Linked DNA regions of Arabidopsis thaliana. The protein of the gene in region 1 purifies or fractionates together with the protein of each later gene. This does not show direct contact. Each region holds a gene or a part of one and is shown on either strand. Other genes may lie near its edges. The genes, in order: GIP1 and GCP4.

Evidence for each region.
Region 2: the proteins of GIP1 (region 1) and GCP4 purify together in Arabidopsis thaliana (affinity purification with mass spectrometry, with the first as the bait; one study listed by BioGRID). This does not show direct contact.

Annotation. Positions count from the first base shown.
Region 1 is NC_003075.7:6,037,290-6,041,034, forward strand, and holds GIP1 (AtGCP3 interacting protein 1), read left to right. Parts: upstream 1-1,765; 5' UTR 1,766-1,917; exon of another isoform or gene 1,918-2,405; 5' UTR 2,406-2,416; coding exon 2,417-2,632; 3' UTR 2,633-2,636; intron 2,637-2,746; 3' UTR 2,747-2,937; downstream 2,938-3,745. Other genes in the region: CRP4 (ECA1 gametogenesis related family protein), read left to right, coding at 280-648. UniProt on the Arabidopsis thaliana protein: Required for gamma-tubulin complex recruitment to the microtubule organizing centers (MTOCs). During mitosis, modulates gamma-tubulin complex localization, spindle stability and chromosomal segregation. Necessary for gametophyte development and embryogenesis.
Region 2 is NC_003074.8:19,917,190-19,924,277, reverse strand, and holds GCP4 (GAMMA-TUBULIN COMPLEX PROTEIN 4), read left to right. Parts: upstream 1-1,765; 5' UTR 1,766-2,013; coding exon 2,014-2,183; intron 2,184-2,263; coding exon 2,264-2,561; intron 2,562-2,668; coding exon 2,669-2,805; intron 2,806-2,921; coding exon 2,922-3,020; intron 3,021-3,249; coding exon 3,250-3,370; intron 3,371-3,446; coding exon 3,447-3,719; intron 3,720-3,911; coding exon 3,912-3,992; intron 3,993-4,068; coding exon 4,069-4,152; intron 4,153-4,306; coding exon 4,307-4,393; intron 4,394-4,482; coding exon 4,483-4,538; intron 4,539-4,681; coding exon 4,682-4,864; intron 4,865-5,020; coding exon 5,021-5,246; intron 5,247-5,341; coding exon 5,342-5,430; intron 5,431-5,613; coding exon 5,614-5,767; coding exon of another isoform or gene 5,768-5,806; exon of another isoform or gene 5,807-5,843; coding exon 5,844-5,966; intron 5,967-6,039; coding exon 6,040-6,096; 3' UTR 6,097-6,458; downstream 6,459-7,088. Other genes in the region: AT3G53770 (late embryogenesis abundant 3 (LEA3) family protein), read right to left, coding at 452-764, 889-950; ACT3 (actin 3), read right to left, coding at 6,907-6,972, 7,066-7,088. UniProt on the Arabidopsis thaliana protein: Gamma-tubulin complex is necessary for microtubule nucleation at the microtubule organizing centers (MTOCs).

The DNA.
Region 1 (3,745 bases):
ACGTTATACTTTTATTTTCTCTCTTTTAATCAATATTTCTTAGTTAATGTTGCTTCTTTTACACTTGGAGTTTCGTCTTTATTTTGATTTATAAAACTGTTAATCAAATACCTAATTAAACCATTCAAAGATGTTATTAAAATAATTAATATCACAGTTTTACATTTCATTCCATATAAATAAGCAGGAATCTTATTGTTGTTCATCAATCAAAAACAAACAGAGCATTAAGCATATATTTGGCTATACTAAGGCTTTTTTATTTCTCAGTTTCTCATTATGCCTATCAAAAATGTGTTTTCACTCTTAGTGGTTCTATGCATCATAGTTTCTGTAAATGCTCAGTTACCTCAGTTTCCGGCTCCGTTTCTTTTTCCATTTTCGTTTCAACCGATTCCTGGAATGCCAGGATTACCTGATATAACGAAATGTTGGTCATCCGTGATGGATATTCCTGAATGCATTGCAGAGATTTCTCAATCCATTTTTATTGGCAAATTCAGTAATTTAGGTTCTGCTTGTTGCAAAGCATTTTTGGACGCTGAAGCCAACTGCATACCAAAAATTCCACTTATTCCGCTTTTCCCTCCGATGCTAAAAGAACAATGTTCAAGAATTGCCGGTGTAACTCCTCCTACACCGAAATAGAGTTTTAAATTATTATTTTTTAAATAGATAATTTTTTTTCCAATTTATTTCTTACAATTTTAGCTTACGCTACATGTTATACTCCAAAAAAATATCATATAAAGTAAAAACATTTGAGAAGTTGTATTTGGGTTCAATATTTACTCATTCTTCAATTCTAATGAATAACAGCTTGAAACATCGATTCTATAATTAACTTTGTCTTACAATGTTTCAAAACTTGGAATTATATTAGATAATTCCCTTCTAAATAGACAGTTGTGAGAATTAAATAATTTTTTACGAGATTTAAATTTTACATAGTAATCTGTATTTTCTAAATACAAATTTTAATCTTACACATTCTATAGATTCTATATAACATGCTTTTATTGATTACATATAATAAGGTATTTCTCAGAGTACAACACAAAGATAAGACAAAGACGACTGACGACATACAACATCAAGAAAAAGACGGACGCAACGGAGCCTCTAGATGCATATTGTTGTAAACAAATTGAACGATATAATTGAGGGAAAAAAATAAACTTAAGAAAATAAAAGAATAAACATATTTAAGTTATTAGAAAATATTAAAACACATATTAATATTTTTCAAAACAAAATAAAGAACTTATACTTCTGTTTTGAATATATCAATTTTAATAGAATTAGTTCATTAGTTCAATAGTTTAGTATATTAAATAAAAAATTTGAATATAGAAACATTATTTTTGACTTTATGTATATATTTCTTTTTCAATAAGGTTAGAAAAAATTTCTATTTATGTTTTTAAATATAAAAAAATTTGATTTGACATGTGCGAATATCTTATTAATAAATTTGACACGTGAGTTAATAATTTTGAAAACTCATTTCTTATATAATGAAATAAGCATTTGTTCGAGAAAAAAATATTAAAAACAAACATCTTCTATATGATTTATCTCAATTATAAAAAATCTGTTTTTTTCAGATGTTAAAAAAGAAAAACAATTGTGTCAGAGTTATATTATTTTCTTTTCATTAGTATAATTCATTAAAAAAAATTAACACTATCAATCTTAGTGTCGGAGTTATATTTCAAACATATTTTTGTTTAGAATATTAATATGATTATTGAAAGACAATAAACTTTTTTTCTTTTGACATAACACAATTTACATTTATTGAAAGACCTCCAAGTCCTTTCCCTTCGTCTCCCACTTCTCACTTCACACTGTGAGTCTGCGACTATCTCCAAGACCAAGCTTCATACTTTATTTTTGCAAATTCCGTTTCTAAACGTAAGTTTTCTTATCTTCGTTTCTATCAGATTACTCCTTAATTCTTAGTCTCGAAATAAAAAATTTGAAATTTATTCGATGTTATGCAAATTGCCGCCGACATAAAAACCCTAATTTCAATCTCATTTTTCATCTGAATTACATTTCTTTTGAATTGAATGTTTCTGGGTTGTGTTTTGGTTTTGGTATTAACTGATCTATTAGACTAATCCTTGTTCACCTATCAGATAATATTATTGGGCTCTGAAACAAATTTGACTCACTTTTGTGTGTGTGAGCATTGTATCTTCACTACAAAGCTCTAGCTTGAAATGTTGTTGTGTAATTTATAAGACTCTAGTTTCTAACTTCTTATGTCAAAATCACCTAAGAGTCTTTGACTTGGTTCTTGTTAGATCATAGTTCACTTACTTTTGTCTAATTTGGTTTGGTAGAAACTCTATAATTCACTAACTACCTTAGGACTTTAAAATTGTGGAGTTTAACAGGTGTGATCAGTATGGATGAGGAGGCATCTCGGACAGCAAGAGAGTCACTAGAGCTTGTGTTTCGCATGTCAAACATCTTGGACACGGGTTTGGACCGGCATACTTTGTCAGTTCTCATAGCTCTTTGTGATCTTGGTGTTAACCCTGAAGCTCTAGCTACTGTTGTGAAAGAGCTTCGTCGCGAGTCTATCCCCGATTCTGTCACAACCACACCATCTATACACTGATCAGGTATTGAGAATTTTCTCAGTCTAATGATGATTGACGAGTCTATGCCCAAGTCTACCTCTTTCTGTTGTTTTCAGATCTAACATATCGACCGGTCGAAATTTATGTTGCAGGTATGCAATGGATTATACAAGTATTGTGGTTGGTATGTGAATCTTGTTACTACTTTTTTTGTATCATTTAAACAAAATTTGTATGGATGAATTATAACTTCTTTTATTTGTATGAACCGTTATTTGAAAGCCAAAGTAGCAGAATGCAAAAAAAAGTATATAATTGTAATTTTATCTCTCAAAAGCTCATAGAAAATTCAGTGATCATGTGTCACTAAAGCAGAATGCAAAAGGAATTTGGGATCATCTGATTCACAACCCCTGGAAGGTAAAAACATTCTATGTATCCCCGAAGAGGGAAATCACACTCAATCAAAATCTCTGCACACCAAATCTCCGTTTTACATTCCTTAGTATAAGTCTTCCACCGAACTATCACTCTCCTTCCTCAGGCCAGGGTTTTGTCACCGAAATAAGATACTTAGAGGACGGTTCTTCAAGTCCTCTAATCGTGAACGTGCATATATCACCGCAGACTAGTTTCGAGTTTCAGAAACCCTCGCTGTCCACCATACGTTATTCTTTGACTCTAACAAGCAAACAGTAGGGCACAAACCAATAATTTTCTCGCGAGAAAATCTTCCAGTACATTTTGTTGGCTCCCAAGTCTGTGTCTTTGGGTCGTAAACTTCTCCATAATTCTCAGCAGTGTCATAATACTTACTGCTGATGCCTCCAAACACAGATCTTACCGTCGATAACATTAAAACATGCTTCTTCTCGAGGGACATGCATCTTGGGGAGTTGACGCAAATGATGAGTTTTACAACCAAGTAAATATCTGAACCAAGTGATACAACAGTCGAAGAACTAGGATGTTGGTAAGGAAAGTTAGGAAGTGAAGGGACTGGTATCAGTTTCTGGTTGGGAGAAAGGGAATGTACGAACCAGCCAGGTTTTTTATTTAAGTTTAAGCAAACATAGAGACACTTCTCCTTTTTTCCTATAAGGGATCTTGCGGCCTCGAGGTCAGGGGAAGCTAGGAGTGATCGGAAAGTC
Region 2 (7,088 bases), on another chromosome or scaffold:
ATGTTTGTTTTTTTATAGAAAGACCACTCGTAAAATGAAAAATAAATTAAGAATATGTAGATATATTTTTTGTAATACTCTCTCAAACAATTTTTATTGATTAGAATCTGAAAATGGAAATTTGGCATGGAGATCTTTCATTTGGTAAAATATATAACAGAAATTTGGAATGGAATTTTTTATATAGATAACTAATAGTAATACGTGACAACTTGTTTTTAAAAAGATTCACCAGATAAAACCCAACATTTGGAAGCAACCTTGAACAAATCATGTTGTTTGATAAAGTCAACATGACTAAACAATGATGCGTCTCGCGTTAGAAAAATAAGAACTAAGAAGCAATGAGGCAAACAAATAATTTGCCAAAACCTTATTACGAGTTCTCACTTCAAATCAATGTACCAGAAGTTTTTTATTTTATTTAACCACACATGCATGTAGAGATAATTTAGCTCACTACGTACGTCTTTTGATTCTTGTTGAAGTGCAAAGACCGTAGCTCAACTGCGTCAAGCTCTCTGGCAAAATTGTCTGGTCTATAGTATCCGGTCTGAGGATCAGGCATCCACCATAACTCTTCTCCTCTCATCATTTTACCTTGAACTTGAGAGGTTTTTGCAATGTATGGATCTAACTCTTTTGCAGCGGTCTCGGGTCTAAAGTATCCGGTATCAGGGTCTGATGCCCACGATGGCTTCTCTTGACTACTTCCAATTGTATATGCCCTTTGAGAGGCTTTTGTGATCACAATGTATCTTCTCCTAGAATAATATTTATAAAAAAAAAAGAATTCTCATTTAGTTTACAACGCAACATATTCAAAAGAATTAACCAATATACAGTATTTTCTAAAACCATAAGGTTTATACAAATGGATAGACTTACATTCTGATTGTGTTGTTGATCGAGCGAGATAAACTTTTGAGATTGAAAAGTGATTGAGACATTAATCCTCTCAAATCTCCTATGAAGAAGATTAAGTGTAAGAGGATTTTTGTATAGACTATTTTATGAACGCGCGAGTTGGTTTATGTACGTTTGGAAGATATAGCTTTATATATAGGTATATAGGGAATTTGTTAATCATAACAATTTTGTTGTTGTTGGAATAAACTAATACTTTGACTTTGTAATGTTGATCAGACTTTGGAACAAAATAAAAAATTAAAGTATTGGTAGGTTCTGTTAAAAAAAAAAAAAAAAATTATAGTGTAAAGAGAAGTAGTAGTCCCTTGCTCGACCTGAAGTCAGATTAAATCATCGAAAAATATACAACCAGGACAATGACCTAATCATGCTTCAATTTTTAAAGAGTTTTAAGCGTACGTGCTAATTTTTAAATCAAATTTATTGATTTAATAACGGTGAACTAACTAAACATAAAACAATTTTTGAATTGGTCTATACATATTATGTGAAAAGGTCTGAGACGATCAAGATTCAATGGTTTCTCTGAACGGTCAAATTATTTGAAGGGTCAATCGAGATAATGGCTTTTCTTCGAATAATATAATTTAGCATCATTTTTGTTGGCTCAACTAGAAGTGTAGCAAAAAAGAATTTTGACTTAATCAAGCTTAGCTTAACTACCTTTGTTCCCTACAATTGGTCAAGTAAATTGTTTTTTTCTCCACTTGCCGGGTGCCGGTTAGTGGTTACACGAGCAAGTTTGGTTTCGACTACGGTTCTTAAAACATAGTCGGATTTTATTTTTTCTCTAATTCGGTTTCATATCGGATTTTTAGATAGAGTTTTGGTTTGGTTAACCATATCGAATTGGTGTTGATTGGAAAGACCAAACCGAATAAAGGGTCTTTCGAGTGGACCCGAGACAAGAGAAAAAGAGACTCTCTAAATTAGCAAAACACCTTTGTTTTCTCATGAAATTACACCATTTGCCACTGAACTACACCGGTAAACCAACAAGTCCGGCGACAGTGACGGCATTTGGATTTTCAATTTCCCTCCCCCAAAAAATATTTAGCAGTTTCGTCTTTCGTGAATTTCCCAATGTTGCACGAGCTTCTTCTAGCTCTCTTAGGCTTCACCGGCGATCTCATCGTCGACGAGCGTGAGCAACGGAAAACCCTAGGCCTCGCTTTCAACTCCGATTCACCTCTTTCTGATGAATGTACATTCAAACTCGCTCCTGACATCTCCTTCATCGAACCCAGCGAAAGGTTTAGTCTCTGCTCGCGCTGATCTGGTAAATTTGGCCGCTGATTTTGATTTCTAGTGACTCTGATGCGCTTCCTTGCAGGGACTTGATCGAAAGGTTGATCAAGTTAGGGTTCTACTATCGAGAACTCGACCGGTTTGCGAAGAAGTCTCGCAATTTGAGCTGGATTAGGTCTGTGACCAGTGTGCATCCGTTGGAACGGGCTGATGAATTGTCGAAGCAGAGTAGAGAGAAGAAGCCTAGCGTGTACCGTAGAGCCATTGCTAATGGAATTGGGGAGATTCTTTCGGTCTATAGATCTGCGGTTCTTCACATTGAACAGAAGCTATTGGCGGAGACTACGCCTATTCTGGCTACGGTTACAGAGGGGCTCAATAAGGTACATGTTCTAGTACAATACCAACACATTTATCACTTGATGATTGAGATTAGCATTTGCCAAATGAATTTGTGTTTATTGATAGTCCAATGCCATTTTCTGTCTAGTTTTTCGTTCTTTTCCCGCCCCTGTATGAGGTAATTCTTGAGATTGAGCGTGATGATATTCGTGGAGGGCAGCTTCTTAATGTATTGAATAAAAGATGTCATTGTGGTGTGCCTGAATTGAGGACTTGTCTCCAAAGGTATTCACTAGCTTTGTTCCTCAGTGGCTTTATTTTCAGTAAACTGAGATCATTTAGTCCAGCGTCACCACTTGTCAAAGTTTTTGTATCCTGCTTGTTCCCTTATCCACGTGCAGGCTTCTTTGGAATGGACATCAGGTCATGTATAATCAGCTTGCAGCTTGGATGGTCTATGGCATTCTTCAGGATCCTCATGGAGAATTTTTCATCAAGAGGTAAATTGTAAATCTACATCGTTTTGTCAATTTTATCTTGATATTTGCTGAGTGCCATCTCGTTTTTCTTAATGTCGTCATTAGTGGTCCTCATTATGTATTTATTCTGCTTAGGTATCTGCTGTATACTTGCATTGATACATTATGGCCTGCCGTCGTCTGCAGATGCACTTTGATTTCTGTTTATCTTCTCCAAAGAATGTTCAACTCATTTCTGGTTTGCTTGTAGGCAGGACGATGGTGATTTAGATCATCGCTCATCTCAGGAAGAAGTATCTGAAAAGTTGGCTCGTACCTCAGTTCATGAGACATCTTTAACTGATTGGCACTCTGGATTTCACATTTCTTTGGTATTCTCCATGCCACTTACACTTTTGATTTAGGTACTGTTACTATATTATTGATTTTTCTGTGCTTATATTGCAGGATATGTTACCTGATTATATTCCTATGCGCCTTGGTGAATCAATTCTTTTTGCGGGGAAAGCCATAAGGGTTTTGCGAAATCCCAGTCCTGCTTTCCAGTTCCAGAAGGACAAGAGTTTTCAGCAAACAATGCGTGGCTCCCAGAGAATTCGAGGATTTATGCATAGTGATTTCCCTGAAACAGAAACTGAGTTAGATGCAGATCTTACAGGGGGAGAGTTGCTTCCACAATCTGAGGCAGATAAGATTGAAGCTATGCTCAAAGATTTAAAGGTACTTTCTCACTGGACAGTATATCTTTGGTAAAAAGTATAACAATCTAAATAACTGAGTTGATTTTCGGTTATGCAGCACGCGATCCTACTGCTCATGCATAGAGATCATGCGTAGAGATAGTATATGCCTTTCTCCTAGGATCACATTAGAGCTCAGATTGTAAACTTAGATTTATACGTTTGTGTGCAGGAATCATCTGAGTTTCACAAGAGATCATTTGAGTGCACTGTTGATTCTGTTCGAGCAATAGCAGCCAGTCATCTTTGGCAGGTTTTCACTTGACAACATTTTAAACTTCAATCTTCTGGATTTATTTTTTTGGGTCACATTACCTTCCTTTCTTCAGCTTGTCGTTGTGCGTGCTGATCTCAATGGTCATCTTAAAGCTCTGAAAGATTATTTCCTCTTAGAAAAAGGAGATTTCTTTCAGGTAAACCACATAATCTATCTGTTGATGCTCTTAAATGAAAATTAAGGGTGATTAATGTCGCTCCCACTTGTTCATGTCCTCCTCTTCTTGCACTAGCCTCAGTTAAAGACCTGTGGACATTTAATTTCTCATCTCATAGACTTTCTGATTTCAGTGCTTTCTGGAGGAGAGTCGTCAGTTGATGCGTTTGCCACCTCGCCAGTCAACTGGAGAATCTGATCTTATGGTACCGTTTCAGTTGGTATGTGGTTACAACTTAAACAATTTCATGATAAAAGTTCTGTTCAGGTCAAATTGTTTTTGTAATGTTCTTTCTTTTGGAACACACAGGCTGCAACAAAAACCATTGCGGAGGAAGATAAGTATTTCTCTAGGGTATCCCTACGGTTAGTAACACATCAAATTCTTCTTAACGACTTTGTATTAATGGATTTAGTGTCGAGCCTTTGAGCTAAGTGGGACGCACATATTAATAACTATTTCTCCCAACTGTTCCTTAATTTGGCTATTTAACTGCTATTCTCACCAGGATGCCTTCATTTGGAGTCACAGTCAGATCTTCTCAAGCTGACATGGTGAGATCTAAAGTATCTCTCACCGGGAAGGCAAATCTTACATCAGACACCTCTGTGGATGGCTGGGACGCTATTGCTCTGGAGTATTCTGTTGATTGGCCCATGCAACTGTTTTTCACTCAAGAAGTGCTTTCTAAGTAATAATCCTTAGGCACTGCTTATATCCTTCTTTTCTTCTAATTTTTCTCACTTTCAAAGTTTTTGCATCGATTATACTATGAAATTTTTAGTCGGCTGTCTGCTGGAACTTGAAATATGTGATGCTTTCTCTGAGAGCTATAAACTTGTGTTAGGTATCTCAAGGTGTTCCAATATTTGATACGGCTAAAGAGAACTCAGATGGAATTGGAGAAATCATGGGCTTCTGTAATGCATCAAGATCATATAGAATCTGCTCAACATCGAAAAGATGGTTTAAACGGATCAACATCTCAACAAAGACGACAAGGAATACGACCCATGTGGCGTGTTAGAGAGCACATGGCGTTTTTGATAAGGAATCTTCAGTTTTACATTCAGGTAAAGACGACGTTTCCTAAGAATTTCAAAGTTGGTTATAAGCCAGTTTGTAAAACAAAAAACTTCTCATGTTTTGATTCTCTCTTTGTCTTAAGGTTGACGTGATAGAATCTCAATGGAAGGTGTTGCAAACTCACATCCACGATTCTCAAGATTTCACTGAACTCGTTGGCTTCCATCAAGAGTAAGTATATCCAATGCTCGTTGTTCTCTTTCAAGAGTCTTCATGCTACTTACTTGGCCTGGCATTTATTCTTCTGTGTTTGGTTCTCGTTTCGATTTTTTATTATTTTGTGAAGCAAGTCTGAACCTAAATCTTTTTCAGTAATTTTTCCCTCTACTTACCTACTGTACTATACAAATGCAGGTACCTCTCCGCTCTTATCTCTCAATCTTTCCTCGACATTGGTTCCGTCTCAAGGATACTTGATAGCATCATGAAACTATGTCTCCAGTTCTGCTGGAACATTGAGAATCAAGAAAGCAACCCAAACACTTCAGAACTTGAAAACATAGCTGAGGTGCGTTATCTTTTCACTGTAATACTCATACAAAGGTAACAATGGTCTCTCATAATTTTTTATCTTGCGGTTTAAGGAATTCAACAAGAAGTCAAATTCCTTGTACACCATACTGAGAAGCAGCAAACTCGCCGGGAGCCAGCGAGCCCCGTTCTTGAGACGTTTTCTTTTACGTCTAAACTTCAATTCCTTTTACGAGGTAAGGATTTCAATCAGAAGATTTAAGTTTTTCTCAATGGGAGCTTCTCACTGTCTCTCTTTCCTGGTAGCAGGCAACTGCAAGGGGCGTGTTAAACGTTGTCCGACAACGCCCAGCGCTTCCATTGTAAAATGCCAGACAGTCCTGGTGGAAGAATCTCGTTCCGAAGCTTTTTCAGACATGAGCTGATCCGAAGGTTTAATGCAACAACTATGACACGAGAAGATAGCATTTGTCTGATCCTCAAACCAGGATGACATGACGCCACCAATGGAATATACATAAATATATGTGGACAGAGTTCGTGCTCACACGCCTTTCCTTTGTAAGAATCTGTGTACTGTGCTCCGGCTTTCACAAGAATCTGTTTAGTGCTGTGTTTAATTCGTGCTTTATAGATGTAATACTCTGTAAATTATGTAGATGTGGTTTCTTTAATCATTTTTAACAATATGATAAGCTTGATGACGTGATTTGCAAAAATTTCTATAATCAAGAGTCTTCAGTTAGTGATTTATGAACAGTGAACACTGAACAGTGATGAATATTTTCTTCTTCAGTAAAAGAATAACGTATGACTGTAGCATAACACAAAACCGACAATGATAAAAGTTACAGGTAGACATTGACAAAAAAGAATTAAAAAATTAGAGGTAGACTAAATTAAGAAGATTATCAAATAACCTCTCTAAACTTGGAAAAATCAGGAGTTCTTATTCACTCAAACACAGTTGTGTCATCCAAAATAAATAAAAGGAACAAGACAACAGTTTAACCAACACTACAAACAGATAATGTAAATTCTTCAAAATGTCTTAGGCCAGAATCTGAAAATATTGAAGAAGAAAAACAAAGAAGAGCAGAGAACGAAGATAAAAACCCAGTAAGGACAAACTGGAAAACCCCCAGGGCTTCTCCGGAAGCAGACTTAACTTCAAGCTCAAAAGCATTTCCGGTGAACAATCGACGGGCCTGACTCATCATATTCTGCCTTTGCGATCCACATCTACAAAATTCAAGAACGGAAGACCGATCAGTCAGAGCTGCAGAGTGGAATTATTATGTTTAGTGAAAGGAAATTGATTGGATTATTATTCACCTGCTGGAAGGTACTGAGGGAGG